Linked DNA regions of Alligator mississippiensis. The protein of the gene in region 1 purifies or fractionates together with the protein of each later gene. This does not show direct contact. Links are inferred from orthologs where the notes say so. Each region holds a gene or a part of one and is shown in the gene's direction. Other genes may lie near its edges. The genes, in order: MAP3K1, AXIN1, DCAF7 and MAP2K1.

Region 1 (7,433 bases):
TCAAAGTGTACATTAATATTGATCTTGTTCACATGGGGAATGTGGAATCTGTACAGGAGATTAATGACGAGGCTGTATGCGACTGAAATGAAAGCATCTACATCTATGTTGTTCATGCATCAGAGGTTCTTAAAAATGTTCACAAACATTGTTACATTAAGGATTTGATTCTGCAGTGGGAGGTGTGCATCTTACTTCACTGGGAGCAGAATCATGCTTCCAACTTCACAATACCCTAGTGGAGGAGCTAAGTTTTTAGCCTTATTTAAAAGCATATAAATTGTATGTATGGAAAAGGTCTATAGAATTTAATAACAGTGAAACCAGATGGGTTCATAGAAAGCTTCAAACTTGTAATGGTGCATGCTTTCCTTTCTAGGGGTTTTTAAAAATAATCTCATAGAATTCCATAGCAAGGGTATGCTTTTCTATTAAATTCTACCAGACCAGGGGTAGGCAACATTTTTGGCTGGAGTGCTGAAAAAACTACAATATCTACCTTGTAAGGTGCTGGAGTGCCAGCATACCAGAAAAACCAAACCAGGGCCAGGGGTACATGGCAGGACACACTGCATATCAATATAGTTAATAATCATAGATGTTGCCTTGTAAACACCAGGTTTTCTAAAAATTCTAAATCTGGTGACAATAAATAAAACTTCAAATACTACCTTCGTTGTTGTGTATTCTTTTTTAAGCATGTTGTGATGACAGAGGGAAAAAAGAGGAGAGAAGAGAGAGGGAAAGAAAAGAGAAAGAAAAAAGGGGAGAGAAGAGAAAAGCACTAATCACCTGGTGATACTGCGGCAGGGGGCAGTGTAGGCCCACTCCTACCTACCCTACTCCTGTCTTCTCTTTGTTCATCCACCACATCTTGGCCTTAAATGGTAGGTAGAATAGAAAAAGAAAGGAGTTGGCACCTGGTTGTCCTTGGCCTTTACAGTGAGGCGTGGAAGATCACATCCTGGGTCTTCGCACGGCTCCGCCACCTCTATACCACACCCATACCTCTCCAAAGAGATGTTGCCATGGAAGATGTTGGTTCTTTAAGGATACACTTATTTAATTCCTTAAAATAGATGTTCTGTATTCACTGCCATAAACAAGTAAAAATGCTCTCAAGTAAAAGATCTTTTCTTAGTGGCGGCCTTGGCCCTGCTTCTGACAGCTGAGTTTGGTGATGTTAGGTTGGTAGCTGGTTGTCAAATGCAAACATAAATCTGAAGTGTCAGTCATCAGATGGTTTCTCATAGGACTGAGCATGGTTTTCATTTGTGAAAACACTTGTTCGCAGCGATAAGTGGATCCAAAGACAGACACCAAGGCAAAAGCTACTTTTTTCATGCAGGCATTCTTTTCAGGAAGGAAAGACCAACATGCTGTAATCTTGAGTTGCCAGTCCCTTTCATTCTCAAATTCACCTCACAGTGATTTTGAACTTCAGTACCTAAATGTATAAGCTTTGAAAGTCAATCAGTTCCAATTCACATCCTTCAATGTTCATCCACTGAAAGTACTACAGTTCTATATCACTTACCCTAGTACCACCTGGGTTCACAAGAAATGAAAACGTGGGACCTGTTGCAAGTCTTGGAATGGTCTTATGAACTCATCTTCCAGCTGTCTTCTGTAGTTGCATATATCCTTATTCAATTGATGCTACTCAGAAAGGATTTTCGGACGGGGGAAGTAACGGAAGGCATGTGTTTTGATATCTCATCTGAAAACAGATAACTTATCACAGAAAGCTTTCTAGTCTTCAGACAGCTGAAGAATGGTTTTCTATATTCCTTGTAATCTAGTATTCAAATCATTTAAATGTGATGTGATGTCTGTCAAAAACATCAGTTTTGTTAGCCATCTGTTATCAGTAAGGTCTGCATATTGCTGACCACTTTCCTTAAGAAAAAAACTTGATGGATTTGAGACAAGCAACAAATCTCTTGAGCACATTACCTCAACTCAGCCAGCATACATTACTTTGCAGCACTAAATCTCCATATGCAGAATCCATATCATTTAAAAGTTCACAGAATCTCCTGTGTCAAAGAGGAGTGAGCAATCAAAAAGCTCACAATTTTCACAACCATTGTTATGATTTAATTTAAACCAGAAGACGAGATCATAGCACACAGGCTCTCCTGATGAATAATACAATGGAAACACATAAGAGGATGTCCAATCTCAGTTTTCAAAAGTTTAAAAAAATCCAGCTGTTTTACCCATCATAGCAGGTGTGCCATCAGTGGTAACAGAGAAAACAGAGAACACTTTATGCAGGTCAATTTATTGCTGCATGAAAATATCTTTGACAGCATTATGTATATTGTTGGCCATTGGTGTGCTATGCATAGTGCTCAAAGAAAACAATTCTTCCCAAACTTCCCCAGAGATAAAATATTGAACTATTATAGCAAGATGGGGTTAGGGATATCATTTATGTCTGTGCTTTCATCCGGTGCAAGGCTCATCACATCACAAACATGGAGGTCTTGAGCCATTTGTTCCCTAACATTAGTTGCCATTGCATCTATTTGCCTTTGAAGAGTCCTGGATGACAAGTGGCATTTCATCAATATGAGCAATGATGTCTTTCTTATTCACAAAATCCTAAAACAGATCCTCAGCACATTTTAAGAAAGCATCCTTTAAGTATTCTCCATCTGTAAAACACTTGTATATCCAAGAAGCTATACTACAGCTACAACGTAATTTGCCTGGGTGGAAAGAGTATTTCTAGTTACGAAACTAGGAAAGCTGGCTGGCTGTTTTTGGAACGGATCAAAAGCTTTTCAAATGGATTCATGTTCGTCTGCTTCATCAGCTCCAGAAAATTTGGCTTTGTACTTGGCTGGAAAATGGTGCTGGACGCTGGAAGTACAAAATACCATACTCTTACTGCACAGACGACAGTCAACATGATCTCCTGGCTGCACAAACCCACACAATTCTCTGCATGCTGGCTGAAACTTCTGAATACCTAGCTTTTGGTTTTTTACTATCCAAAAAGTTTTTTTACTATTTCAAAAGTTAGAGTTTTACTATCCGGGGTTATGTATCTATATGGCTTCTAACTGTAAATTTTCCTGAAGTTCACGCTAACAAAACAATGTAAATAGGCAAACAGAAAGCAGACAATTAAAAAGAATTGAATTATTTGAAGTGTGTGTAAATCTAGGTAAGTGTTTCCAAGAAGGCAATCAGAGAGCAGGAAAAACGCACAAAAAAAATGAGCAATATGAAGTGTTTAAATCCAGGAATGCAGAGGAATGGCAAAGTAGAGAGATCAAAATAAACTGAATACGAACTGCTTTAATGAAGTAAAAACCTGAAAAGTGTGAACTGGTTTAAGCAAGTGAAAAAAACTGAGTACAAAACGATTTACCAGAGCAAAATAAGCCGATTTATGTGCAGAGAGCGCAAAAGCTGAATATGAACCAGCTCAACAGAGGAAAATAAACCGAAAGGTACAAAGTGGCTTGAGAGAAGTCTGAAATAATTTAACAAGGCAAAAAGAACTGAATACACAATCTTAAACTCGTTTTTGCAAGAACGGACAAACTACTGGGCTAGAAGCCGCCCAGAGCCACGTGCTTACCTCATATAAGCGGGAAGAGACGCACAGCTGGGGGGCGGGGGTCTGTATCCCGCCCCCTGCCCCCACACTGTGCTGGCCCCGCCCCCAGCCCCGCCTCAGGCAACCGGGGGCGGGGACCCACCGGATCTGCGTAGATGGCAACAGCTGCCCGCGCAGCTCTGGGCGGACTGTGGTGGAGGAGGCGGGGCTGCGCTGTCCTAGCCCCTCCCCGTTGCCTCCAACACAGAGCCGATGCGGGCTCTGTTTGCAGCCCGCTCTCTGCCTGCAGCAGCAACCCAGGGCCCGGGCGGGCCGCACACAGCCGCGTGGCCCCACTACAGGGACGGTGCTGGGGGTGGTCAGCCCCACAACATTCTCCTCGCCCCCCCCCCCGCGCGGCGCCCGCGTCCTCCCGGGGAGGCCCCGCCCACCCCGCAGGGGCGCGCCGCGTCGGCCTCTTCCCGGGGGCGGGGCCAGGCCGGGAGGCCCCGCCCCTGCAGCGCAGCCGCTGGCCCCACCCCGCCCCCCGCAGCGGAGCGGAGCGCAGCCCCCGCCCGGCGAAGGCTGGCGCAGCCCCTCCCGGCCCGGCCCGGCCCGGCCCAGCGCCGGGAAGAGGCTGGCGCCGCGGCGGGCTCAGCTGCGCGGGGCCGGCGGCAGCAGCAGCAGCGGCGGCGCGGGGAGAAGCGGAGCGGAGCCTCCCGGCCCCGGGAAGAGACTGGCGCCGCCCGCTGTTGCGGGCTCAGCTGCGCGGGGCAGGCGGCTGCGGCGGCGCTGGGACGGGTGGAGCCCGGCCCCCCCCGCCAGCGGGAAGAGGCTGGCGCCGTGCGCCTTCGCGGGCTCGTTGGCGCGGGGCAGGCGGCGGCGGGGACGGGTGGATCCTCCCCCCCGCGCCCCCCCCAGCGGGAAGCGGTTGGCGCCGCGCGCGCGCCTGAGCCGGCAGCAGGTCAGTGGCGCGCACAGGGGGAGGGGCGGGGCGGGGGTTGCGCGGCCTCGGGCCCCTTCCCCGCCGAAGCACGCGCGCCGCAGCGCGGGGCAGGGGCGGGGCGGGGCCTGGGCCGCACGGGTCCGGCCTCTCCCTGGGCCCGCGTGCCCCGCAAAATGGCGCACGCGTGCCGGGGGCTGCGGATCCGTGCCCTGGGCTCGGTCTGGCGAGGACACGGTTAGTGACTGAACTGCAGCCATGTCACTTCCAGCCTGTGGCGTGACCGCCCTTCGCCCGGCCGGGATATGCTGACAGGCTTCACGTCAGCTTCGTGCCTGCACGTTTTGCAGGATAATGTAGGCTCGAGCCATGGGTATCCTTTACCGACTTTGTAAGACGCTGTTTTTCTTGATCCCGACGCTTTGAAGAGGAGAGGAGTAACCTGGGGACCAGCCTGGCAGGCATCACTTGGACAAAATCGTTGTTGCACCTTCTGGTGTCTCTCGCCTGAAGTAAGGACTTTGGGTACAGGTCCAATTTGTGACCAGCTTCAACAGCGCCTTGCAGGCCACTTTGGATGTGTAGGCACAATTACAAGGGTATTTGTCTTGAACGCTGTTTACTTTAATGAGTTTTCCTCGTCGCTGTAGTTTGAGCAAAATATAAGTACACTTCTTTGAATGTCTCAAATGGGAATGTCTCAAATCCTGTGGCAGTACACATACTTATCTTTGCTGTTTTTAGAAGTGATCTTCATTTATTGGGCAAAGCACTTTAAGTCTCAGCTGGTCTTCCCCACCTGCATTAAAAAAACACAACAGTTCTTTGTTGAAAGCAAGTGAAGATTGGATTTACTGTCACATGAGAGAGAAAGATAGCTGCTTCTGCTTTTTGGAGAACAAGTACAGATTGTGAAGCCTTCGCTGTTGTATTACTTTGTTCGTGGAATCAAGTCAGAGGTCCACTAAAAGACTTTTTTGTATCCGTTGGGGAAGTTAATCACAATTTATGTGAACAAATGAAATAGTGTGCTTCTCTCTCTCTCTCTCTCTCTCTCTCTCTCTCTCTCTTAGTAGGGCAGTGTTTTCTGTCTTGTGTACAACTTCATGCGTTTGAAACAGTGGACATGAAATTACAGTTGCAGTTTATTTTAATTAATTTAAAGTATCTGAGATATTAACACCTAGATTTCTGCATCTGTATCGTTTTATGGACTCAAGTCTTATTCGGGAAGAGCTCCCACTGCCATCAGAGGAGAGCTGTGGCTGAAGAAGGAAGGAGTGTGAAAATTGCCCTCCTCTGCTAGGGAGCTTGATATATTTGGGTCTCCCTTCTTGGTAGGGTCTGTTACGGAAATGCAAGTAACAAATAATCTGTCTTTCACTTTTAATGAAGGATTGACAAATTTTTATTAGGGTTTGTTTCTTTTTGTGTACAAATTTGGTGCACAGCAGGACAATATTTCGTCTCGTTTTAGTTGTTTTTAGAGTGTGTTTTTTTTCTTCTTTTCTCAAGGTCTGTGTTACAGCTTTAGAGCTTACTATACGATTTTTACCATGACCTTTGCATTATCTTTAAGAAAACGTGTACATCCATTAGGAAAGCATAAAAGTGTTCCTAACTGCTTAAAAATGTTCTTCCATAAATCACTATAGTATGTAAGCCAGAAAATTACTAGAGTATTACTGGAAAATTACTGGATTTGTTCAATTACTGGATTAAGAAGATACTGCAAAAGATAATATATTTGTGGCATCTACAGTTATCACACTGTCAAGCTACTTCAGTATCTGATTCTCCCTGCTGGTTCAGAATGGGCCTTTTTTCCAGAAATTAAAACGATACAACTATTTGGGTTGATTTATTGTATTGAAAATGTAGGACCCAGCCATTTCTGATAGTGCCCATATCAAAAATCATAATTTAGTATATTTTGAGGATGTTGCTTGAAAGAAAATACGTTTAATGTTACTCATCTGCTTGTGACATTTCTGCACTGAACAGGAAAATGTTATTTCCTGTCCCTAGATACTTTTATTTCCTTTGTCTCTACAATAAAAGGGGAAAAGTTCTGTAACATTTGATCAGTGCGTTTTTAGGCCAACAAAAACTTCTAATCCTCCACTTTATCAGTCTTGGATACATGTTGTTGCCCAAAAGAGACGTTTTTATTATTTTTAATCACAGGACAGATAATCTATGAAGTGCCTGTTGTGTCTGCCAATCATGCAAGTCAATGTAAATTAGTGGACTGTTACTGGCATAACTATATATTTTTGTAGGTGAAGTTGTGTTTATTAGTAGGTGAAATTGTGTTTAGTAGGTTAAGTTGTTACTCTTGAAAAACGAAGAATAACAAATATAGAGCAATTTATGTATGTATATGAATTAAGTCCTTTTTATTTTGTGCGAATGTCTGGTGGGGGGGTACGTTTATTTTCAGACTGTCTGCTTAATTGAATTTTAAGTGGTGGATTCTTTTAAAAGCAAAGTTTTACTCCTTTTTAAAGAACTAAATTCTAGAAGATCTCACAGGATCACATGTTTTGGCTAGGCATGATTTTTCTGGTGATTTTAGCAGATAGCTTAGTAGAATCAGTAAACCCTCCAGACTGCTCATTTGTAGTTCAGTGCCTGGAAATGTTTTTCATTGTTGTCAGTGATCATAAGCAGCTACTTTACTGAAGGTCAAAATCATATAGGCCATAGATTGTTTTAATTTTACAGTTAGGAACTGGCTTCATGTATTGTCATAAATATAGTTGATTAGAAGTGCTTTTTTTGTTGTTAGTATTTCAGAAAGCAAAGTTGAACTTACTCCAGCCTTACTATCATGACTTGCGTTTCTGGTTTAAACAGATTTGAGGTTTTTAAATCAGTTGCTTGAAGCTTTTCCTTGCACAGTGGCTTAGAAGCATTATGGCACTTTATATA
Region 2 (7,461 bases), on another chromosome or scaffold:
GGCAAATCAGCTCATGTGGGGACCTGCTGCCACCTTGATGCCAGAGTTGGGGAGGGTTCCCACACGATTTACCCTGGGCCTCGCACCCTCCTTTGGCCAGCTCCAGTAGGGGCCCAGGGCATATCAGTTCATGCAGAGACCCGCTGCCACCCTGATCAGCCCCCTGATATCCCTGGGACCCCGTACTGGAGCTGGCCTGAGGAGGGTGCGCAGCCCGGTGCAAATCGGATTGTGTGGGGTCCTGCCCCCACCTGGTCCTGGGGTGGGGTCAGGTCCCTGCACGAGCTGATTTGCCCCAGGCCTGCCTGCCGCTGGCCCCAGGCGGCAGCACCAGCTTCCTGCGATCCGGGAGGCAGATTGGGGGTCTGCACACCTGGAAGCAGTCCAGCACAGCCCCCGCAGCCATGCTGGGGGTGTGGGCAGCCCTGATCTGCCTGCTGGATGACAGAGGCTGGTGCTCCCACCTGGGGCCAGCAGCAGCACTGATCGTCTCGGCACTGGGTGGGCAAAACGTCGAAACAGCATCGGAACAGCAGAATGGTTTCTATGAAATGGAACAGTGCTTTCAAAACTAAACGAAACTTGAGGGAGGGCTGCAGGGGCTGTGCCGGACTGCTCCCAGGAGTGCAGGCCCCCGATCTGTCTGCTGGATGATAGGAGGCTGGTGCTGCCGGCTGGGGCCAGCAGCAGCACTGATCTTCCCAGCACTGGGTGGGCGAAATGTCAAAACAGCACCGAAACAGCAAAACAGTTTTGACAAAATGGAACAGTGCTTTCAAAATGAAACAAGACTTGAAATGAAACACTGTGCCATCAAAACGTCGAAACGAAAGTCGAAGCAGAACAGCACTGTTTCACACAGCCCTATTATGCACGTCTGATTTTGTTACTCTATAAGGTGCATCTCTATCATGTCTTCTGCTGAATGCCTACATTGACTAGGTCCTGCATGAGGGAATCATCTCCTAGCCCCCTGGGACTCATTGTGGGATCCCTGCCTAGGTAGCATAGGTGACTGGTGCCTCCTGAGTCACGGTGGTCACTTGCCTTCCCAGCAGCCAGTCAGTGACCGGGGGTGGTAATCGCCCTGACCCAAAAGTGCCAGCAGCGTGCTGGCACTTCTGGGTCAGCACAATTGGCCACGGAGGGACCGCAGGGATCGCTCCTCTTGGTACACCTATCCCCGGCCAACACTTTTAGTGGGGCAGCAGTGCTCTCACCTGCCCCCCCCACCCTCCCGGCCCTTCGCCTAAGTGGGGAACAGTGGCTGTCAGGGGGTGCACCAGCACTCTCAGGGGCTGCACATGCACCCCTGTGCACCCCCTACATGTCACCACTGCTGGGCAGGCCAAAAGGAACTCCCCACCACACCTACAGATGAGTCTGTATTGCACCCTGATCCCATGAGCCACCAGGGACCTCAGCTGATGGAACCTCGACAGAGCTGTTGCCACAGGTAAGCATCTGTAATGCTTCACAGACACCCCCAATGCAGGCAAAGGAAGCAGGGGGAGACCCTGGCACATGCCTATCTGGAGTGCACCAGGCTGCAGGCCTTCCAACACCTCCTTCAGAATCTCTGCTGAGGGCCTGGCTGCACTATTCCCTGCATCTTTTCATTTATGCACTCCCCATCCATGGTCCCACCAAGTCCCAGGACCTCCTGGTCAACCTCCTCCAGGCCCAGCTTAGCTGGCAATGTTCCTGACCAGGAAGGAGGTTCTGGCTGGGAGGACCCCTGGGGACTATGGGGCTGCTTTCTTGTCCCTAGTCCATTCATGTTTCCGGGCAATTTCACTAGGCAGTGTCCACTAGCTCCTTGGACTTGTTCAAGGACCAAGGCACTGTCTGGTGTGCTCTGCTCAGTGTCCCCCCTTGGTGCACTCATTTTGATCTTCTGCCCTTCACTCCCATCCCTGTTTTGTTTTTCAGTTGTCCCAAGAGATCCACGATGTGCCCTTAGTGTGCCCCCCCCAATCAAGTGGGGCTTATAGCTTTACTTGTGGGCTTTGACCCACAATCTGGAATGACACATCTAAAGGCTGGGCAACCCATTGCCACCACATCTACACACTCGTGGTCTGCACCCTTTATCGTCCTGTCCTTGTGTCCTGCCCAGAAACTATGTGGTGAGACACCCTCAGTGAGGACAAGGATCCCTGATGGACGAGCTTCTATTCCAGCCTGATCCTGTGAGCCACTGGGGATCTCAGCTGGTGGCTCCTCCATGGAACTGTTGCCACAGGCATGTACCTGACATGCTTCATGCATACCCCCGACACCTCCCCCTTCTGTGAGCAGAGGGAGACCCTGAGACATGCCTAACCTGAATGCACCAGGCTGCAGTCCCTTCACCACCTCCTCCAGAATCTCCTGCTCCCTCACTACTCCCTGCACCTTTTCATTTATGCCCTCCTCATCTGTGGTCCCATCAAGTCCCAGGACCTACTGGTCAGCCTCCTCCTGGCCCTAGCCAAGTTAGCAATCTACTTGATCAGGAAGGAGGCTCTGGGTGAGGTGACCCCCAGGGACTGCAGGGACATCTTCCTGTTTCTGGTCCATTCAGGTCTCTAGGCAGAGTTTCACTGGGCAGTATCTACTCTGCTGGCTCCTTGGACTCATATGAGGGCCAGTGGGCACTGTCCAGCACATCTTGCTTAGTGTGCCCCCTTGGTGCATTTACTCTGAACATTTGACCTTCACTCCCGTTCCTGTTTTGTCTTTTGTCCCACAAATTCAGTTAACACATACCCAATAGCCCCTTCTATTAACGGGGGCGGGGGAGAACTGTTGCTCTGTGAGCATAAGGCTCATGTTCCCAATATGTGTCAAACAGCCCTGTCTTCTGAAGAGACCTATACCATTGCCTATTTTGTCCTAAAGACTAGGTGCTTTCTTTTGTGGATCCTGACAACTGAGTTTTAATACAACCGGGTTCCTCATGTTCCCAGACAGACAGAGTTGGAAAGGCAGTCTGGATCCTAGGTCAATGGGAGGTCCCATTGGTCCCACCCTCCATTTGTATGGCAGTAATGTCTGCCCCATCCAGTAAGGCAGTGCTAGCAGCATGGGTCCCCGTTCTCTCCCTAAGTACTTGTCCCAGGACCTGTGGTATATTTGCTAATGTAGTAAGCTACCTCCTCACCCCACCAGCCCCCTGAACGGTGGATCTTGGAGCTAACACAGTATGAGAGCAATACTCTGTCTCACAGCTGTTGCCCCAGGTTATAGGGTATGAAAGAAAAGTAGAAGTTGAAAACATAGTTGAAGCAAATCACACTGGCAGCTGCACAGAGACAAGTAGCCCAGGTTGTAAATGTGTCATTAAATTGCCCCTGCCTATTTTGGGGTGGTGGGGCACATCTCTTTAAGGACTGCATCATGTTTGCAGCTTTTTGAACACAGGATGTGACTTCTTGTGGCATAACCCATCCACGTGCTCATGGCCTGGGCTCTTCGTAGACTTGGGGAGGTATCACTTATGCTGGTCAGGTTTTCAAACTAGGAATGATAGATGTTTACTTTTTATGTTGATGAAAGCTGACATTTTGGTGTAATCATGTAGCTCCAGAAACAGGCCCTAGGCATGGGTCTGTGCCTTCTCCAAACCACAAGTCACATCAGAGATGCCCATGGTTGGGAGAAAACTACAATCCCCAGGGGGCGTTGACAGCATGGCCTCTACTTCTTCTTACTTCTAGACCTTTTGTACAGGCCTAGGATTGAAGGGGCAGAAAAGAGTTGAAGGCCAGGATATCTAAAACAGAGAGTTTGCAGCTACTGCAACTAGCATCAGAAAAAGGAAGAAGCTGATGGACCTAACATTTCTTTGTGGAGATTGATTAGGTTATGAAAAATAAGAGGGCAATTACATTTTAAGTTTTCAAGTAGTTTATGTCTGAGGTGTTAGCCAAGTGTTGGTCATGTGACTTGGGTTTGCTTAGCTACAAGACCCGGGAACAGGGAGAAAACCATTACGGACAGATTTAAAAAAAGAGAAGTTTTAAATGTTTCTCCTGCAAAACGTAGGAACTTTTTGTTCTTTTAAAAATGATATCAGAAACTGACCTCGTCTCGGCAGAGCACATTTAGAGCCCGCATTTTGCTCGCTAAGGTGTGAAAAAGAAGACGGAATCCCTTTCAGTGCAAATGTCAGAGCTGTTCCTCTTAGCGCCTCAGTGCCGCTATCAGAGAGCACAGCTGCGCAAGTGAGCCGTCTGCCCGCGTTTCCGTAGCAGTGTTTGTCAGTCAGCTCCCTCCGGACCTGGGGCTGGGTCTCCCCGGTGCCTCAGGCTCTACCCTTCTCCTTCCAGGCCAGCGCTGGCCCCGGGAGCTGCGGTCGCGCAGCTCGGGCCGCGCGCCCGCACCCCCACCCCTCGCACCTTCCCTTCCCTTCCCTTCCCGCGGCGGTGCAGGCCGCAGTACCGGGCGGGGGCGCGGGGGGCGCGGCGGAGCGCTCGCGGGCGCCGGGAGGCAGCGGCGCAAGCTGAGCGGCGCGGGGCTCGCTGCTCTCCGTGTCGCTGCCAGAGCAAGCGGCTGCGGCCATGGGGGTCCCGGGCTGCCCGCTTTGTGCTGCTTCCCCGCGGACGTCGCCGCCTGCGGCCCCGGGCTGCAGCCACTGTTGAGCCGCATGGGCCGGGCCCCGCGTCGCTGCAGCTGCTGCTCCGAGCGGGTGAGTGAGCGGCGGGCGGGAGGTAGCTGCGGAGCGCAGCGCAGGCCCTCAGCTCCAAGCGCCGAGGCCGCGGGGCCGGGCCGCGCAAGCCGCCCCATTGTGGCGCGGGGCTGGCGGCAGCGGGCCGCTCCGCGCCCGGCGCTAGGCCGCCCTGAGCCTGGGGACTCGGGCGCCGCCGCCGGGAAGGAGCGGGCCGAGCAGGCGCTTGGCCCTGGGACCCGGCCTGCCTGTGGGGAGCCGGCGTCGGGGCCGGGAGTGGCCCTGTGGGCTGGAGGCGCCGCTCGGCGCCGGGGTCTTGCAGGGCCGGCGCGTCGGCCCGTGCGGCGAGGGAGCCGGGCCGCGCGGCCTCTGCTCTGCCCCGCTCTGCGTCGCGCCCCCTGAACTTGCCTGGCGCGGCGGTGTGCGCAGCCCTGAGCCCGGCCGCCCTCCGCTAGCTCCCCTTGTGTCAGTGGCCGGAGAGACAGCAGTTTATTCGGGCATAACCATCGTCTCCCTCCCCCATCGGCGTCCGATGTGTAGTTCCTTTGCTGGAACTACCTACCTGGAAACAGGCAGGCAGGCTAAGCGCCAAATGGTGCATGGAAACCTCTTGGTTGGGAGAACTTCAGGATGAGTGCTGTCAGAGAATGATAATTGCCTATGAAGTCCTGTGGTGGAAATGCGAATCTTGTGCACCGAGGCCTCCACCCCCAGGTGTAAATGGAACAGATAGACCACAGCACCTGTGTAGAACAGTTTCCAGGACCTGGGCCTTGGCTTGTACTCTTTTTTAATCTGATGTTCCTTGATTTATTTTGATCCATCTATACTGGCAATTTCCAGAAGTCCTTTGATGTTATTTATCCTCTAGAGGTAAAATGCCAAGTGCTTCTTCAGGTGTGAGGAACAGAGCCTTTTTTGTTTTGTTTTTGCAACAATGAGCAACATGGCTTATGTCAGCTGGAGTGTGATGTTCACCTCTGAATGAAATGGCTACAATATCATTATGTTGAATATCTTTGTTGTGAAAATCAAATTAATTCCGTGACCTCCGTTGCTCTAGTGCTGGGTGAGAAATTTACAACAAACATGGCCTAGCATGAAATGATCTACTTGGTTACAGGTGTTAAGAAAAGCCTCAGAATAGCAACTGAATGTTCATGCTTGTTTTAATCCAGTAGTTGTAAAAACATTGCTTGGTCCCATGATCAGATAGGTATAGCTGAAACATGCAGTTATTCAGACATTAAAAATTAATTAGTTTGTTATGTTGTTTCCTACTTTATTCTGTTAGGATGTTCAGGGCATTGAGGAAGTCTTCTCTTTTTTAAGGCCAGTTGAGAGCAAAGGAAATGGAAATGTGTCTGAAAGACTTATTCATCTGTGGAGGTGATCTTTGCATGAGGGGCTTGTTTCAGAATGGTTTCCTTGGTATATTTTCATGTGCAATTAAGATTTTGTTTGAAGAAGTGATTTATTAGACAGCTGTAGCTTTATAGCACTCAGGTCTTTGCGATTACTAGTGTTTTTTGAAGATTTAAATTGTATTGTCTTGATACAAAGTAGGTATCTACATTTTTATATCTCCATCCTTTTCCTTCCTTCCCTATAAAAAGCTACTAATCTTTTCTTATATTACATGAAATGAAAGGTATTTACTTATGTTTCATTTAAATATTATTTGCTGCAGACCTGAGAAAATTTCAAGTCATCACCTGAAATTGTTACCTTGATGTACGTCTTGACATACATCTTCTCTATGCCATGTTTTCTCAAATTACGTTTTTGGAAAATGTAAAAAAACGATACATTTAAACATCAAGACAACTTGAGGTGATGATTTGAATTTTTCTCAGGTCTGCAGCAAATAGTATTTAAATGAACCATCAATAAATACCTTTCATTCCATGTAATATAAGAAAAGATTAGTAGTTCTTATAAGAATATACTCATTTGTTGCAAAAGTTTAATTTAGATACCATGTAAAATATCTAGAATTGACAGCATATTAGGATTTTAATTTTATTAAAGGCTCTGGTATAATTATTCTGGTGCCACAAATATTCGTACCACTCAAATTGCTTATTGATTAATGTGATAAGATGATGCAGCGCATTTCAAAAACTGCTGGACTGTAGAGGCAGTTCATATTGTAAGTACAACTGATTGTATTGAAGGCTGTCTACACTTGATTAAGTTATATTCCTGGCTTAAGTGCCAAATGGAAATACATTCAGAATCGTCCCATGTGCCCCAAAAGAAATTCCAAACCATTCTGGAGACATGAATTTACCTGGTGTTTTATTTTTGCATGACTAAACACTATATTTTTTTCTAATTTAAACTTCATAATGAAATATGCACACTGAAAAAGTGAATTGAGTGTCCCATTTACATAATTATCTACAACCATGTTTGAGGATTGTTCATGGTGGTTTTAAAATTTGGATAACTCAATAATAAGAAATTCAGGAGTACTGGAATACTGTACCAAGAGGAAGACTAGGAACATAATCCTGTGAAGCAGAAATAGCCATTCCAGACTCTTAGGATATCTCTTAGAATATGCAATATCTCTTAACTTTGTTCTCATTTATTTCACCAGGATAAACACGTTCATGTTGGAAATACAAACAGTGGGGATTTGAGACTTAGGCTGTTCTGTCCTTGTTCCTGTGCATGTAAACAAACATGAATGTCCAGGGGAAAAGTTTCCCTTTGGATCTTGGGGGAAGCTTTACTGAAGATGCTCCAAGGCCACCAGTCCCTGGTGAGGAAGGTGAACTAGTTGCCACAGATCCAAGGCCAAT
Region 3 (7,806 bases), on another chromosome or scaffold:
TCTTCTTGGGGCCCTTTTACTATAGTCATGAACCAGGCTGCCCTGACATGACTACACACGATAAAGAAAGCCAATCCCCAGCTCATGCATTGGTACCTGGCACTGCAGTCCCATTTATTCAACCTCCTCTGTTGCCCTGGAGCAGCACATGCTAGTGCAGACTTAGCAGATGTTAGGGACTGAACATGGAAAAGGGAATCTCAGACTTTACTCTTGTATGTTGAGAAATGTAGCAGAGTAGTCTGGCCCTTTAAGTGGGGCAACCAGCTCTGGGGTAGGAGCCCAAGTGTGAGTGACTAGCGAGGTAGTCGAGCACCTGCAGATCCCTCACCAGGTCATTGCCTGTGGCAAGGACCAAATCCAGCAAGGCATTTTCTCTGGTGGGATTATGTACCTCCTGGGTTAGGTAGAGGTCCTGTATGCAGGCTAAAAACCTACATGAGTATTTAGGCCTGGCTGACTGATCCTCCCAGCAGATGTCTGGGTAGTTTAGGTCACCCGTGACAATGACATCCCTTGTCCTTACAGCCTCCATGAGCTGACCTGAAAACTCCAGGTCCAGCTCATCCCCCTGGTGAGGAGGTCTGTAGTAGATGCCCACTAACAAGTCCCTTTCCCCACATCCCCCTTGCATTCTAACCCAGAGTGCCTCAGTTTGCCCCTCTTCTGAACCCATCCTGATCATCAAGGACATGTACTGCTCTTTAACATAGTGCGGTACACCCCTCCCCCCCTCCTTTTCTCCCTACTCTATCTCATCTATACAACCTATAGCCCTCGATGTCTACTGCCCTGTCATGAGTAGAATCTCACCAGGTTTCTGTAAGCCCAACCAGGTTTGGGTTTTTGCTAGCTAGCAGGAGGGTGTGTTCCTCCTGCTTATTCCCCATACTTCTAGCATTTGTGTAGAGGCAATTGAGACCTCCTATGGATGTTTATGCTGCCCTCTTGTTCCCAAGCTTGCCCGGGCCCTTGTCACTTACCTGGGTTGTTCCTGCTCGTGTCACCTGGCTTGACATCGAAGTGTCCTCCTGCACCTCTGCATCCCCATCCCTCAATGAACCTAGTTTAAAGCTCACCGTACGAGATCAGCCAACCTGGAAGAGAAAACACGCTTACCTTTTGGGGAGAGATGTAGCCCGTCCCGCCCTAGCATGTCTCCTGCATGGAAGTGCAGGGTCATAGTCGAAGAATCCGAAGCCCACCCGGTAACACCAGCTCTGAAGCAACCGGTTGACCTCTCCGATGCAGGCCTTGTGGTGCCATCCGCATCTGCTCACTGGAAGAACAGATGAGAAAACCACCTGTGCTTCCGTCTCCCTAAGCTTGGCTCCCAGAGCCTTGTAGTCTCTCATGACATGGTCCGAACTACTCCTGGCCACATCATTAGTGCCCACATGGATGAGGACCAAGGGGTAGTGATCAGAGGGCTGGATGAGGTCTGGGATCATTGCCGTGACGTTCCAAATCCGAGTTCCAGGCAGGCAGCAAACCTCATGTGCCATGGGATCTACAGGGCAGGGGGTCAGACTTGAAGATCTGTTCAGGTCCCTGCTGACCCTAGAAACTATGGAACTAGCAGTTAAAAGCCCAAGTGGAGAGAGAGCAAGGAGCTCAAACTGGAGAAGGAGCAGTCTGTGGCCAGGAGGCAGACTAAACCCCAGTGGAGATTGCTTCTAGGAAGGGCCAGAGCTAAGATGGCCTCTTTTGCTGCCTGGAGAAAGGCTGAAGATTTGTTTTGCTCATTTGTTTGGATTAAGGGTTACAGTTTGTTTTATGGGCTATTGTTTGGACTGGCTGAGGAGTTCCAAAGGGGACAAAGCCTGCCTGCATGGGAGCAGGCCCACCAACCAATTTACAGCCTGGTACAAATTGGTTGCTCCTGAAAGACAATTTACTCTTCTTTAGAGTCTGGAGGAGCCAGGCAGGATTCCTTGTCAGGCAGGGAGGAATCAGCAGAATGGAAGAGCATCTCACCTTCCCTTCAGGACAGGATGGCAGGAAATCAAAACCTGTCCTGTAGGCCCCTTGCAGTTAATGCCTGTGCCTGAAACAACTACAAATGCTGGACCCTGCAACTCCTGGCTGCAAAGGAGTTCTCCAGCACCTGTTGCTGTTTTGTGTCTGGCTTGGGCCTCATATCCTTATCTCTGGCTACACACATGCTCCAGTGATGCAGCTATTTATACTTCAGGAGAATGTCGGTATCAGCTTTCTGCAGCAGGGACATTCCAGGCAGAGGCATTTCCCCCCACAGGGCTCCAGCCTCAGCCTGGAGATCCAAAAGGCAATGGAGCTTCTGCAGATCCTATATGGCAGTGTCTTTAATCCACGTCAGCATTCTCACCGGATCTGTCCTGCTCATAGCCAACATGCCACACACAGAAGGCTAGTCTGAACTGGCAGAAGTGTGGGAGGATTCAAAAAGGGATTTGAGATTTATATGAATCCTGAGAGCATCCAGGATTGAGTTAGAGAGGATTAAAGAAGTAAGAAGGATAATAAAGCCTCACACTTCAGGGCAGAAGCCAACCACCCATGAGTTGAGGTTACTCCAGAATTATCCACCTCAGAGCTCCCTGCACCTTCCTCTGGAATAGACAGATGTGCTGGAGACACGATGCTGAGTTACATGTACCCTGCACTAATCCAGTCTGGTGATTCCTTGCTCTTTAAAGAGATGAGAGACAGGGGTGCTGCTTTTTAATCACCACTAAGTACATATAGAAAATACTGCTTTGTTGACTCCTTGTCTACCTCTAAGAACTTCCATGAACTTTTGTCTCAGTCAAAGACAAGCGAGCAAAACCCAAATAATAAAGATGTCCTTGCTCAAAGCAGCACTGCAGCAAAGTGAATTGCTTGTGGGAAGGCACTGCTCACAGTCTAGTTGTCCCAGTACCTGCCCCTGTGGATTCCTGCTGTATGTGTGTGTTGTCCCATCCAGTGATATGGTCACCTCCTGCACATGGTACTGCAGAATCCACCAGGGAAAATACCACTGGGGAATTCAGAATGCCTAGTGCAGTCCCCGATGGGGCATGGTCCTGCCCCTGCAACTGTTCTCACCCTGTGTCTCAATATCATCACATGCAAGATGAGCTTAATGATAATGTTCTAGGTTGCAAGCTGTTGGTTGGGTGTCTTAGAGTGACAAGGCATTTGTAAATCATTCAGCACAGGATGTACCCTCTACAAGTGCCGAACAGTTCATTGCTACGGTTATTGTTGTTATAGTAATACCGAAGGACCTCACTCAAGGATCAAAGCCCCGTTTTCTTTAGCACAGGAAAAAAAGTTGAAATGTGGCACTCATAACCTGTGTGATGGAAGCAGGACGTATTTGGTGATATCTTTTCTTGGACTAGGCAAATAGCTGGGAGAGACATTAATTAAGTTCTGGGCACAAAATGTATTGAGGAAACTGACCCAAGTAAAGGCACGTTGGGCCCAAAAGCTGACAAACACCTCTTCCCAATTGCACAGTTGGCCTAATACAGATTGAATTTTATTAGCAATGTTTAGGATTGTGAATCCAAAAAGATGACAAAGCCAGTAGGGAAATACAAATCGCCCGAGCAAGGGACTAACATTAGAGGGATGGGGGTGAGGAGGGGAACACAACTAGGTTGCAGAAAATATGGTGTTAGCCAACTAAGCCTGGGGGTGGGGGAACAGATTGAATTTTTTATTACCAAACCTTGCTTCCCAAGTGTTACCTAGCCCAACACAGTTACTGCAGCACTGTTCCCAATCTCCTATATCTGACAGACTGGACAAAGTGGTGATAGTCAGAGCTGTCCCATCCCTGGTTTACAGATGGGCAATTGAGGCAGGGGGAGGAAAGTAGCTTTCACACGGTCACGCTGGGAGCCAAGCAGACCAGGGTGGAGGGCCCCCGTGCCTCGGCCTGCTCCTGGGAACAGTCCTGACTCGAGTGACGTGCCGCACAGCTGCAGCACAACTGCAAGGGATTTTGGACGCGGAGGTGGAGAATGCTGGCTGGTGGCACTGGTGCCAAGTGTGCAGTGGGCCTTTGGAGACTGGCTCCACGCTCACCAGGCTTTTCTCTGAGCAAGCGCCTCCCCTCCCGCTTCGTCTCCAGGGCTGTGCTGGCCTTGCTAAAAGGCCCCCGTCCCCGCAAGCCAGGCCCTTGGGCTACCCCCGAATGTGGGGCAGGCTTTTTGGGCCTGAGCATCACACAAGCTCCCGTTCCTTCCGCAGTGACCCTCCGCTGCAGCCAGGGACAAAAGTGGTGGCTTTGCCAGGACCCGCTCTGGGAAGCGGCAGCCCGGCCCTTACTGCAGCGCCTCAACGGGGGCGGGGCTTTTTTCCCGCTGAAGGGCCGGAGCCTGCCGTGCGAAGCCCAGGCCGGCGCGGGGAGCGGGATTCGATCCGACACTCCAGCCCGCCTCGAAGCGCCGACTCAGGGCTCCCCGCCGCCCGACAGCTCACCCCGAACGGACACGTCCGCTAGCCAATAGGGTGGCAGCATGCCTGCGCGACCCGCCTCGCGGAGGGGCCTGGCCACTGCGCCCCGCTGCAACCAATGAGATGTTGAGAACGCGCATCCCGCGCGCCTGGGGCGGGCCGAAGAGGAGCGGCAGGGAACTCTCCCAATGCAGCGAGCTCCTGCTCAGAATGGAAGTTAAAACGGCCAATAGGGACACGGCGGGCTTGTGACTGGCAGGCGGCTTGCCCAATGGCCGCCCCCACCTCGGAGTGACGGGCGGCGCAGCCAACCGGTCTCCAACGGGCGGGGCGCCCCGCGTGGTTTCCGCTCCTGTTGTGTGAGCGGCCGAATCTCAAACGGCCTCCGCGGCGCTCGCTGTCTCCGGGGCTGGACACCGGTGCTCGGGGCCCGGAGCCCGCCGCCCGCCCGCGGCTACCGCCGCCGCCTGCCTCGGGCCCGCGTGGCGCCGCGCTCCGGCCGGCCCGCGAGCCCCCGCCTCGCTCCGCGCGCGGCCCGGCCCGGCCCGGTCCCGCTCGCCGCGCCTCGCCATGTCGCTGCACGGGAAGCGGAAGGAGATCTACAAGTACGAGGCGCCCTGGACCGTGTACGCCATGAACTGGAGCGTCCGGCCCGACAAGCGCTTCCGCCTGGCGCTGGGCAGCTTCGTGGAGGAGTACAACAACAAGGTGGGCTGGGCCCGCCCTCCCTCCCCCCTTGGGCCCCCGGGCTGCGCCGCGGAGACGGGGGGTGGAGGGGACCTCGGGAGCCGCCTAGTGCAGGAGCGGCCCCGGCTACATCATCCTGGCCCAGGCTGTGCCAAGTGGGGCCTTAAAAGCCTCCAAGGATGGAGAGAGTCCACAGCTCCTCTGGTAGCCTGTTCAGTGCTTCACTGCCCTCCTAGTGAGAGAGTCTTTCTAATATCCAAACTCAACTTCCCTTGCTGCAGTTTGAGACCAGAAGCTGCTGCTTGTGGCTCCAGAGCAAGGCTGGAGGCTCCTGGGAAAAGGCCTAGGTGTTAAAGGAGCCTCCCGACCTGGGAGGCAGCAGGGCCATGCTGCTTCAAGGGGCTTGGGTGGAAAGGCTCTGGCGTGGCACATGCCCGGCTGTGGGCTTCCTAGCGCACTGCTGCACCACCCGGGCAGCCTTGGCAAGCTGTGGAGCACAACTCTTGTGGCTCCCCCTTGTAGGCTTTTGCGAGATTTCATTCCAGTGGGAAAGCTTCATGCAGGGATAAAAGTTTTCACGTTTGCAGGTCCCTTGTTGACTTTCCAGGTCTCCCTCTGCTCCCTTGGCTTCCTCAGGGAAGTGAGTCCTCACTATCTGTCCCTGGCAGGGTGGGCTGCTTCTCCTGTTTATCCACACTGAATACAAGTCGGAAGTCTCATCTTCCAGGCTCACCCTAGCTAATCACTTCTGCAGGCCCTGGTTCAGTCCACTCTGTGCAGACCCCAGGAGCTCCCCATCCTATGGGAAAAATGTGATGCTAGAGATGAAATAAAGGAATAAATATTATAGAGCAGGGCTGTACAAATTCTGAGCCCCCGAGGGCTGCACCGCTGGGGGCCACAGGCTGCACTGAGCGTGACATGCATCTAGATGCTCTTCACCTCCCCACCACTCCCACTGTACTGCAAGCCCACCACAGGCAGTGTCCCACCCCCACAACCCCGGTACCACTCAAGTATGGGCACATGACTTCACCTCCCTTTCCCTCCTGTGTTCCACAACATGGGTGATTTCCCCAGCTGTTGCTTATGCTCAATCCCACTTTGGTTGGGGTCCTGATCCTCCCACCCTCTTCTTCCCTGCATAGCCCAGGACCTGCTCTCAGCGCTGCTCCACTCGCTGGCAGCTAAAGAGTGGAGGTGGGGAGGGAACTTGGAGACAGATGGACGTCCCTGTTACAGACTATGTTGAATGTGGTGTATAGACTGAATTCTTCAGTCATGGTGTGACTTCACTTAAAATCATTAAGTTATTGTCTGTACAGCATTATATAAAGTACTTTCTAAGTTAATTTATTCACTGATGGTTAATTTACTTCTGACCAGCACAGAGTTTAGTTGACAGTTTGGCTTCATGATGTTCTTTTCCTACAAGTGGGGAGTTTTATGGGGGGAGATCCTCTGGGAGCAGAGTAATTTTTAATTAATAATTTTCAAAATAGCCTATGGTGCTACCATCTTCCATTAGTTCCTGTTTTGCTTAAATATCCCATTTGTTGTGAAAGAACCGTGTAAGCAGGATAAAACAAATACACTGAGTGGTGTCAAATGGACTGAAAGTGAAATTTTCTTTTTTTTTCCTTTCAATTATAGTAGTAGGCGTTACTTGTAATAACCAGTGGTACACTTTCAGGCAGAAGTATTTAGGTTTCACTGTTTACCAGCATATGGTGGGAGGGTAAAAACCAACTTGTGTCTCACTGTTTGACAGAAGCTAGTGAAGCTTAACAGGGCTGCTTAATTGCTCATTGTTGGGCCCAGAGAAGTTAGTTTCTGGCTGTCTGTCACCATAACTAATGTAGTTCCAGTTGGAACATACTTTCATTTAAAACCCTATGCAATCAACTTCCTCCAAAAATTCTTTTCCTGATCTGAAAATTTTGAGCCTCATTTCATTCTAAAGGTGAATTCTTACTCATTTAAAAAGGCTTAAATAAAACCTATTTTGGAAGGGCAAAAAAATGCTTTTCATTTTGAAAACTCTGTGCAGTGGATAATTTGACTCTGAATGTTAAAACTTTACAGGACAAAGGATAAACTGATGCCCTCCTTGAAAGATGAGTATAGCGGTAGCCACTAAAAGCCAACTTTTACCAAGTTTCCAGGCTGTGGCACCTGAGATACCAGTATTTCTGTGATAAGTTGACTGATGCTGACTGTTGGACTCTCTGCTGTACCAACACTGTGTCCTCACCTGATATGTATTCATTGACTAGATGCTGTTGTGTCATACCTTCTTGGCGTCAAACCTGAGAGGTTACAATGGTGATGCATTTCATTAAGAGATCAAGGCATTGATTAAAAAGTCAGGCTATGTATGCTATGAGGTTGCAGTCTATTGTAAATATTGTTACTGTAATTAGAAGACCTAATATAATAAACCCCAGCAGTTATTGGACTAGATTGGATTGCTTAAGAGTACTGGCCACATTTTGTGGTCTGGCTGCTGAGAAGTACCAAAAATAAGTTTGTGGTTTGGGGAACAAAGCTGGTGTTATGCCATCTCTATTCCCTAAGACTGGGATCCTCCAAGGGTTCTTGTAGCCTGTAGTAGTCCCATCTGTCTGCTTTTAGGCTGTTCTGCCTTTCAGATTTGAAGTAGTTTTAAAGCATTCAAACTACATGCTG
Region 4 (7,923 bases), on another chromosome or scaffold:
GTAAATGCTGAGCACATTTTTTTATGCCAGTTTTGCAGTTCAAGAAATCTGGCTAATTTTAAAGTAATTTTTGGTGCTAAGTCAAATAATATATGATAGTTCTTTATATTAAATAATGGCTATGTATTTAAAAAATTTAACCTCTTCCAAAAAAATATTGGCCAAAACTATTTCAGTGGTGGTAGACAACCATCTGTCCTTCTGGATCATGGTATATGCATAAGAGGTCACCCAGACCTTTGACACACATGCCTAGACAGGATTATGGAGGAGCAGGGGCTGCCCAGACTTTCCACCCCACTTTAGGCCATTAAGACAGAATCCAAAGGCCAGACTGAGTTTAGACATGTGGTGCTTTCATGGCAGTAGTTATACGCACATCAGGAATCAAACCCATGTCTTCTGTGTGGCAGACATGGATTCTACCACTGAATTACAAAAGCAGGTATTTTAGTAGTATCTTTTAAATTGAAATCCACAGATGCATCTCAAGCAGGTCCAAGGAAGTGATCCTCCCCTTCTATGTGACACCGGTCAGGCCGCAGTTGGAGTACCGCATCCAGTTCTGGGTGCCGCACTTCAGGAGGGATGTGCACGACATGGGGAGGGTCCAGAGGAGGGCCACCTGCATGATCAGGGGTCAGCTGGGCAGGCCCTATAAGGAGAGGCTATGGGACCTGGACCTGTTCAGCCTCTACAAGAGGAGGCTGAGGGGGCATCTAGTGGCCATTTACAAACTAGTCAGGGGGGACCAACAGGCATTGGGGGAGTCCCTGTTCCCCCGAACACTACCAGGAGTGACTAGAAATAACGGTCACAAGCTGGGAGAGGGTAGATTCAGGCTAGGTATCAGGGGGTGCTACTTCGCTGTCAGGGCGGCTAAGATCTGGAACCACCTTCCAAGGGAAGTGGTGCTGGCTCCTACCCTGGAGGTCTTTAAAAGGAAGCTGGATGAACACCTTGCCAGGGTCGTTTGACCCCAGTACTCTTTCCTGCCATGGCAGGGGGTCGGACTTGATGATCTGCTCAGGTTCTTTCCAACCCGACCAACTATAAAACTATGAAAGTGAAGTAATCAGTAGCTCTTAAGAGAATGTCAGAGAGAAGCTGGGCTGGAAGGGACCTCCAGAGGTTATCTTGTCCAATCCCCTGCCTTAGGCAGGATCATCCCTATCCAAACTATCCTGTATGATCCATAATTAGGGACCTACCACAATAACGATTTTGTGGATTTTGCAAAATCTGGCATTTCCCGTGAAATTGGGCAATGCCCACAAAATCCACAGAAAGAAAAAGAAAAGAAAACTTATTGAAAATAAAATGCTGGCTCCCCACCGAGGGTGAAAGGGGGAAGCTGGACTGCTCGCACGATGGGCAGCCCAAGATGACTGACACCCCGCAGCGCCTCTCATCACCTGCAAGACCTCTCCATCATACGGCCCTGCCCCTCTCCACCAATTGGCAGCGAGGGGTGGGGCTGCATTGCCTTCACAGCCAATCAGTGGCAAGGGGTGGGCCGCAGGCCCCTCAGCCAATCAGAAATTACGCCACCCAGAAAAATGATGGCTGGGCCCTTGTTTTCCTAGCAAAATTGGCCTGTAGCCACCTTGAATTCAATAAGTCCTTATCCAAAAGCTTAAGCCTACATAAGACTACCCTCCTCATCCATGACACAACATAGATCTAGCACCCTAACCTGTCACAGGTAAAGCAGGGGAACCATGGCCGCTGATGTCCTGCTTCTATAAAATGTTGTCGATATACACGCAAGAGGTCTTGGGTCTGACGCACTATCCTCGGCAGTATTAGCATAGCTCAATCTGATACTTTCTACTGTAGTTGCTGTAGTTACTACTTGTTAGTTTTGACTATAAAATACTGATTTTATTGTAGACTACTTTTACCCTTAAAATTAATTAATTTTGAAGGTTTAGATCTAGTACTAGTGTTTTGGATTACAACTAAATCCAGGTCACTAGATTTTAAATCCTATCACATGTAGAATTAATTCCTTCTCAAATGATGAGCACAATAAATACCGGTATTGTTTAGGAGAGGGTCATATCACTTCAAAATCTGCATTTTGTAAATCATTAAAAAAAACCCCACAACAGATTTGGGAATCCCAAGTCAAGTTTTATCTCATGGAAAGTTAAATTTCATGGTAGACTCAGGCCACTGACTGTTGAAACCACACTTTTGCGCTCTGACACCAGACCAGGAGCCTGAAGTCTTAGGCGAGCTTGATTCTTATCTAGACGCTCTAATGAGACCATCTAAGACACCACAGGAACTGTCAATTACTCCTGTGCCCACAGAAGGAAGGAAGGCATCTCTAAGTATGCTTCTAATCATTGGTTTCTGTTTCCAGTACCAAGCAGAAGGAAACTTGGAACAGTGAAGTCTCAAGATGGAACTGAAGCAGAAGAAAGGCTGTACAAAGAAACTGGATATTGGTACTGATAACAATTGAAACCTTAGTACAGTGGTTCTCAAAACCTTTTTTCGACTTGAGCACCCCCCCCCATACTCTTCGTGAATTGAGTGGCACCCTATTTAAAAAAAAAAAAAAAGTATATATTAGAGTACTTATCTCTTTGGAGAGTGGCCAGGCAGTTAGGGTGGGGAGATTAGCCAGGCGGGTCTGAGTCTGAGCCAGTGCTTATCTGTTTATTCCCTTACAGATTCACAGAAGTTTAGGGCTGGAAGGGACCTCATGAGATCATTGGGTCCAGCCACCCTGCTGTGGGCAGGAAAACCACTGGGGTCAAATAACCCCAGCAAGGTGTGCGTGCCGTCTCCTTCTGATGATCTCCAGGGTAGGTGCCTGTACCACCCCTGCTGGGAGTCTTTCAGAATCTGGTCACACAAACCATGAAGTTTTTCCTTGTATCCAGTATGAAACCTTCTTCTAGGAGTTTAAGACCATTGCTCTTGGTTTTCCCCTGGAGTGCTTTGGTGAATAGTTGTTCACCTAGCCCCTGATGTTCTCCCTTGATATATTGGTAAGCTGCCACCAAATCCCCCCAGAGTCTTTTCTAGGCTGAACAGGCCCATATTTGTCAGCCTTTCCTTGTATGGCTTGCTTTTCAGGCCTCTAACTGTATGAGTGGCTCTTCTCTGGACTCTCCCAAGCTTCTCCACATCCTTCCTGAAGTGTGTTGCCCACGCCACACCTCACAACACCCTCACAAAGGACATGGCAGCACCCCAAGATGCCATGGGCCCCTGGTTGAAAATCATTGCTTTAGTAATAAACTCATAAACTATTTGGCAATGACTCATTCATCGCACAGTTTCAGGGTAGATCCCATCAGTATTACTTTGTGTGGTGCCATATGGTTCAGACCCTTTCTGTATTCATTTCTTGTCTCTTGTTCTGCTCTTGGATTGTGACTTGGTGGGGCTGTCTTCTGTTTGTTCTGTGTTTGTACAATGCCATGCCACTTTGAGGTCCTAGTCCATGGTTAGGGGTCCTAGGCTCTAATGTAGGAGTAGGCAACCCCCAACATGCATGCCAGAATGTGGCACACGAAGGCATTTTGCTTGGCATGTTCACCTCGGGGAAGAGGCCGGGGCTCAACTGCCACAACAAGGATCAGGCCCTGCCACTGTTCACCCCTGGCAAGCCAAGACCTTACAAATCGAGGTTGTGGGTGTTTTTGGCACTTTGTCCAAAAACATTGCCACCCCCTGCTCTAGTGCAATACAACCAATAGTGTTGGCCAGTTGAGGCCCACCCTAAGTTCTCTACTAGGGTTTACCGTGTATAGGCAACACATATGAAAACTAAAATGCTCTCATACGCCCTCCTGACTAGATCCTTAGCTGTTACCAACTGGCATCGTTCCACTGACTTCACACCAGCTAACGCAGCAAAGCTAGGGTTTTAACATATGAGTATGTGTTAGCTAACGTGTTAAAATGCACCTTTTCCTAGATAGACATAGTCTCAATGGCACAGAAGGTTAACAGTATTTTAAGAGTAAAATCCTTCTGCCCACTTCACAGTTGCATAGCTCAAATGACAGACAAGATTCTTTGGGTGTATGTGATATCTTTTATTAGATCAACTAAATTGTTGGAAAAAATTGTTCCTTGCAAGCTTTTGTGCCCAAAAGCTTGCAACGAACATTTTTTCCAACGATTTAGTTGGTCTAATAAAAGACATCACCTCAGCCCACAGAACCTTGTCTGCCTACGCCCTTAGAGCCACACAGCTACAACCAACACTTGCTCAAATGACACATGCGTTTTCAACAATGAGGCACACACTAAGAGCATTGTCCTTGTGACGTGTTGTCCAAGAGTCACTGAGACGATGTACAGATGTTGGAAGTGACACTGTCCACTGGAGTTGCAATACATGAGATCCATTAATTATTTCACGAGGGACCAAAAAGCGCGTTTTCTTTTGGAAAAAAAAGACACCCTACAGAACGCAGTGGGGGCACCGGGTCCTAAGAAAAGTCTCTATCAAATGAGTGCATAATAGGTGAACAGAAGGGAAACCCAAACTGTCCTGCAAGCTTCCTGCTGTCTCTTTGCAAACCTCAATATTGCAAAGTCGCTTGTTAAATGTCAAACTATTAGCGCCAAAATAATCCGTCTTTAAAGCCAGAAGGCATTGTCGGTGTCTGGTGCTTTCCGCTCCAGAGCAGCTGGCAAGAAGCTAGCCTCCTCCCTCCTCTCTCTCCGACCTCTGCCCGGGTCCGTGCTGGTTTCCACCCTCATGGCTCTGCGGCTTGCAGTTTGACCGAGCCCAGGAGGAAGGGATGTGGATGAGAGCAGCTGCAAGAGGAGCTCCCATTAGGCAACACCACTAGCCCCACGCCTTCCCCGGGAAGTAAAATTGAGGGTAAAGGACAGGGTAAGGGCAAGGCTTCAGTGCAGCTTCACTTCCTCAGTGCACATGAGCGGGCTCTGCACACTTGCGCACTAGCGCCGCCCGAGAAGTTTGCACATGCACAGTAGCAGAAAAAGGGCACATTTTGATCCAGGGCACTTGCATCGCGGAGCAGCTCAGAGCTTCTCACTCGGGAAGAGGCCTTTGGAGCTGGGAGATCAGGAGCAGCTGAGGAAGGGGCGCACTCCCGTGTAGCCGGAGAGCAATCCGGAGCAGGGAGAGGCGCGCCGGGCTGATTAGCAGCGAAGACCGCCTCCAAGCTAGGGGAGCCTCTAAGTTTGCCTAACTGAAGGGAGTCCTCTTTTTCTGATCGGAAAAAAAAGGTTTCTTAGTAGTTTAAGCCTCGCGTTCTGTTTATTTAAAAATGCCGAAAAAGAAGCCGATGCCAATCCAGCTGAATCCGACCCCGGATGGCTCCACCGTCAATGGGACCAGCTCTGCAGAGTGAGTGCGGCGTCCCCAGGGCTTGGGTGTTACTTCTGCGCTGGGCGAGGCAGGGGCTGGGCGAGCTGAGCTCAAGTGTTTGTTCTGCTAGTGGCCGGGCTGGGTCTTGTGCACTGAGGATGTTGGAGAAAATTGTTGCTGTATCTTCTCTAGGACTTCAGCAATGCAAAGTGAGAGCACTGTTTTGTAGGAAATACTTCATCGTTGTGCGGAAAACAAAATGCACAAGTGAGGGACAGCATGAGCAGAACTTCTCAACTACTGTGTTTTAAAATCCCTGATGCTTTTAGACCTCACGGCAAATAGCATAGTTTGGCATTCAAAGAATCTAAATGATTCCCATAGAGGTTTTGTTTTGCTTGCTGAATACTTCGAAAATGAGTCTTCAGCTGGGGAGGAACTGATTATGTGAAAGTGTGAAGAACTAGGTGGTGCCTCAAGTCTTGTCAGTTTCACAGCGTAAACAAGTCAAAAATGCAAATTCTGTAACTTCCTTCAGTTCGGGTAGCCTTAGGTAGTGTTTGTAATGAGTCAAGGCAGTTTTTTCCTTGACTAAAAACAACAAACTTCTCCCCTTTATATCAGATCCAGATTTCACTTACCTCATCCGTATTGCAGGGTTTTAAAAGAGTATTATTGTAAAAATATTTGACGCTTCCTTGATATACTATTCAAATGAATGTGTATGTATGTATATGTTGCAGAGTTCTTGGCTGTAGCCATGTTGTCTAAGGACATAGGCAGGTAAGCTTTGGATAGATGTGATGTCTTATTAGATCAAGTGCGTAGTTGGAAAAAACTTCTTAGCAAGCTTTCAGGCACAAACACCCTTCCTATGCCTGAAGAAAGGTGCTTGTGTCTGAAAGCTTGCAAAGAACTTTTTTTCCAACTACTTAGCTGGTCTAATAAAAGATATCACATCTACCCAAAAAATCTTGCCTTCCTCTTATATAAATGTAGTATAGAACTAAACCAAGAGTAGCTGTGCATGGTGAAAAGGGACATCTAATTAGCTCGCATTTTGGTTGCACAGATTAAATTGTTACTTGTTATTTTTCAATAATCTGTGAATTTATGGGACAAGACGAAGAAAACGGGATCACTAGAGAAGCTTACAGTTACGCTAGCTGTAGTGTAGAGTATTACCAAAGGAGTTTGCTAGAGGCAACAGGTCTGCATTCATCACTTCATTGTTAGACTGAGGTGATGGATTACAACTACAGGCTGTGGTTTGAAAACTGCTGTGCCATGGAGCCACAAGTTCCTGACCCAGCAGGATGAAATCAGCCTTTTGTTTTCTTAGGTAGGCAAACAATTACAAGAAATACGGCTGTGGCTCTTCTCAGACAGCATCTGAAATGGAAGTCCTATCGGCTGTGTTAGTCATGTAGTGATAGTGCTCAGCCCCTGCAATCAGAGCCTGTTGTTTTTTTTCCATTGAGCTCAGTTTCTGTTTAATCACCTAAATAAGAGACTTCCAAAATGTGTAGCACTCGTTGTGATGCTTGACCCAGTTTTTAAAATATTCAATATCTAGTGTGCTTTTTGAAAATCTGGCTTATTATTTTGGTGCCCAAATAGATTGTTGAGAACTCAGCTTCCTGCTCTGACAGTAAGTGATGATCCCTGTTGAGAGTTATGGTTTAAGTGACACAGCATCTGCTGGGAATTGTGTGGCAAAAATATAATAATACCTTGAAATTATGCCATTTCTTGTTCAGTTACCTTTTAAGGGCTTTGCAAATGTAATTTGGTTTGATGTTTCCATATCTCTGAGAGGTAGACATTATTATTGTCAGTTTGCAGGAGAGAAACCGAGGCATGTGTCAAACGAATGAATTAATTTTGATACCTAAATTTAAAGTGAGCCTTTCCGATGAATGTTCCTCCTGCCAAGAAATGTCATTCACTGGACCGCTGTATGGAAATTTGGGATTACATACCGATTTGTCCCTTCACTCCTGTGGTTGAAAATTTACAAAGAATCATGAAATTAAGGTCACTTAAAAAGAAAAGTGTTATTTTCATAAAGGAGAGGATGTCTTAGCATTTTCAGTTTCCAGTACTAAGGAGCTTTTCTGTGTAGCTCCCTTATTTGGGATCAGATGTTGCTTCCCATATTCGGCCCTGTGGGGGATGAGGGGTGACCGATGTTCTTTTGATGATATGGTTTGTATAACACGCATCTCTCAACCTGTCCTCGTTTATACAGCAAAATTAACGAATCACAAAACCCAGAACTCCCCATCTTCCCCCCCAAGCACTAACCCTCATTAGGATGCGCTGTGGGTTGTTTATTTTGTTATGCCTTAACCTATAAATTCATCCTTAGATTTAATTTTCCCTTTCCAAATTCTACCATGTCCAAGTAAATTAATCCTGCTATACATTATAGAAGTACCTAGGTTTTGGTAAAATGTTTCAAGATTCCGTGGAATGAAAAGTGCCGTGCACGTGTAAAACTAATAACACCTGTAGTAGTTCATTTGCTCAACTTATGCCATTCTAAGTTACTTACTGGCTGGGTGTCCTTTAGTTACTCATAGCCTGGTTTCATATGCACACGTAAGCGT

What was found.
Region 2: the proteins of MAP3K1 (region 1) and AXIN1 purify together in Homo sapiens (affinity purification with western blotting; 5 studies listed by BioGRID and IntAct, with this or other methods). This does not show direct contact. The link is inferred for Alligator mississippiensis from reciprocal best matches to the Homo sapiens genes MAP3K1 and AXIN1.
Region 3: the proteins of MAP3K1 (region 1) and DCAF7 purify together in Homo sapiens (affinity purification with mass spectrometry; 3 studies listed by BioGRID and IntAct, with this or other methods). This does not show direct contact. The link is inferred for Alligator mississippiensis from reciprocal best matches to the Homo sapiens genes MAP3K1 and DCAF7.
Region 4: the proteins of MAP3K1 (region 1) and MAP2K1 purify together in Homo sapiens (affinity purification with western blotting; 3 studies listed by BioGRID and IntAct, with this or other methods). This does not show direct contact. The link is inferred for Alligator mississippiensis from reciprocal best matches to the Homo sapiens genes MAP3K1 and MAP2K1.

The regions. Positions count from the first base shown.
Region 1 is NC_081826.1:267,441,062-267,448,494, reverse strand, and holds the start of MAP3K1 (mitogen-activated protein kinase kinase kinase 1), read left to right. Parts: upstream 1-4,428; 5' UTR 4,429-4,520; intron 4,521-4,742; exon of another isoform or gene 4,743-5,098; intron 5,099-5,136; exon of another isoform or gene 5,137-5,458; intron 5,459-7,433. UniProt on the Homo sapiens protein: Component of a protein kinase signal transduction cascade. Activates the ERK and JNK kinase pathways by phosphorylation of MAP2K1 and MAP2K4. May phosphorylate the MAPK8/JNK1 kinase.
Region 2 is NC_081836.1:22,317,133-22,324,593, forward strand, and holds the start of AXIN1 (axin-1), read left to right. Parts: upstream 1-4,458; 5' UTR 4,459-4,672; intron 4,673-7,256; 5' UTR 7,257-7,342; coding exon 7,343-7,461. UniProt on the Homo sapiens protein: Component of the beta-catenin destruction complex required for regulating CTNNB1 levels through phosphorylation and ubiquitination, and modulating Wnt-signaling.
Region 3 is NC_081827.1:158,477,957-158,485,762, forward strand, and holds the start of DCAF7 (DDB1- and CUL4-associated factor 7), read left to right. Parts: upstream 1-4,792; 5' UTR 4,793-5,001; coding exon 5,002-5,139; intron 5,140-7,806. UniProt on the Homo sapiens protein: Involved in craniofacial development. Acts upstream of the EDN1 pathway and is required for formation of the upper jaw equivalent, the palatoquadrate. The activity required for EDN1 pathway function differs between the first and second arches.
Region 4 is NC_081834.1:4,967,510-4,975,432, reverse strand, and holds the start of MAP2K1 (dual specificity mitogen-activated protein kinase kinase 1), read left to right. Parts: upstream 1-4,910; 5' UTR 4,911-5,270; coding exon 5,271-5,350; intron 5,351-7,923. UniProt on the Homo sapiens protein: Dual specificity protein kinase which acts as an essential component of the MAP kinase signal transduction pathway.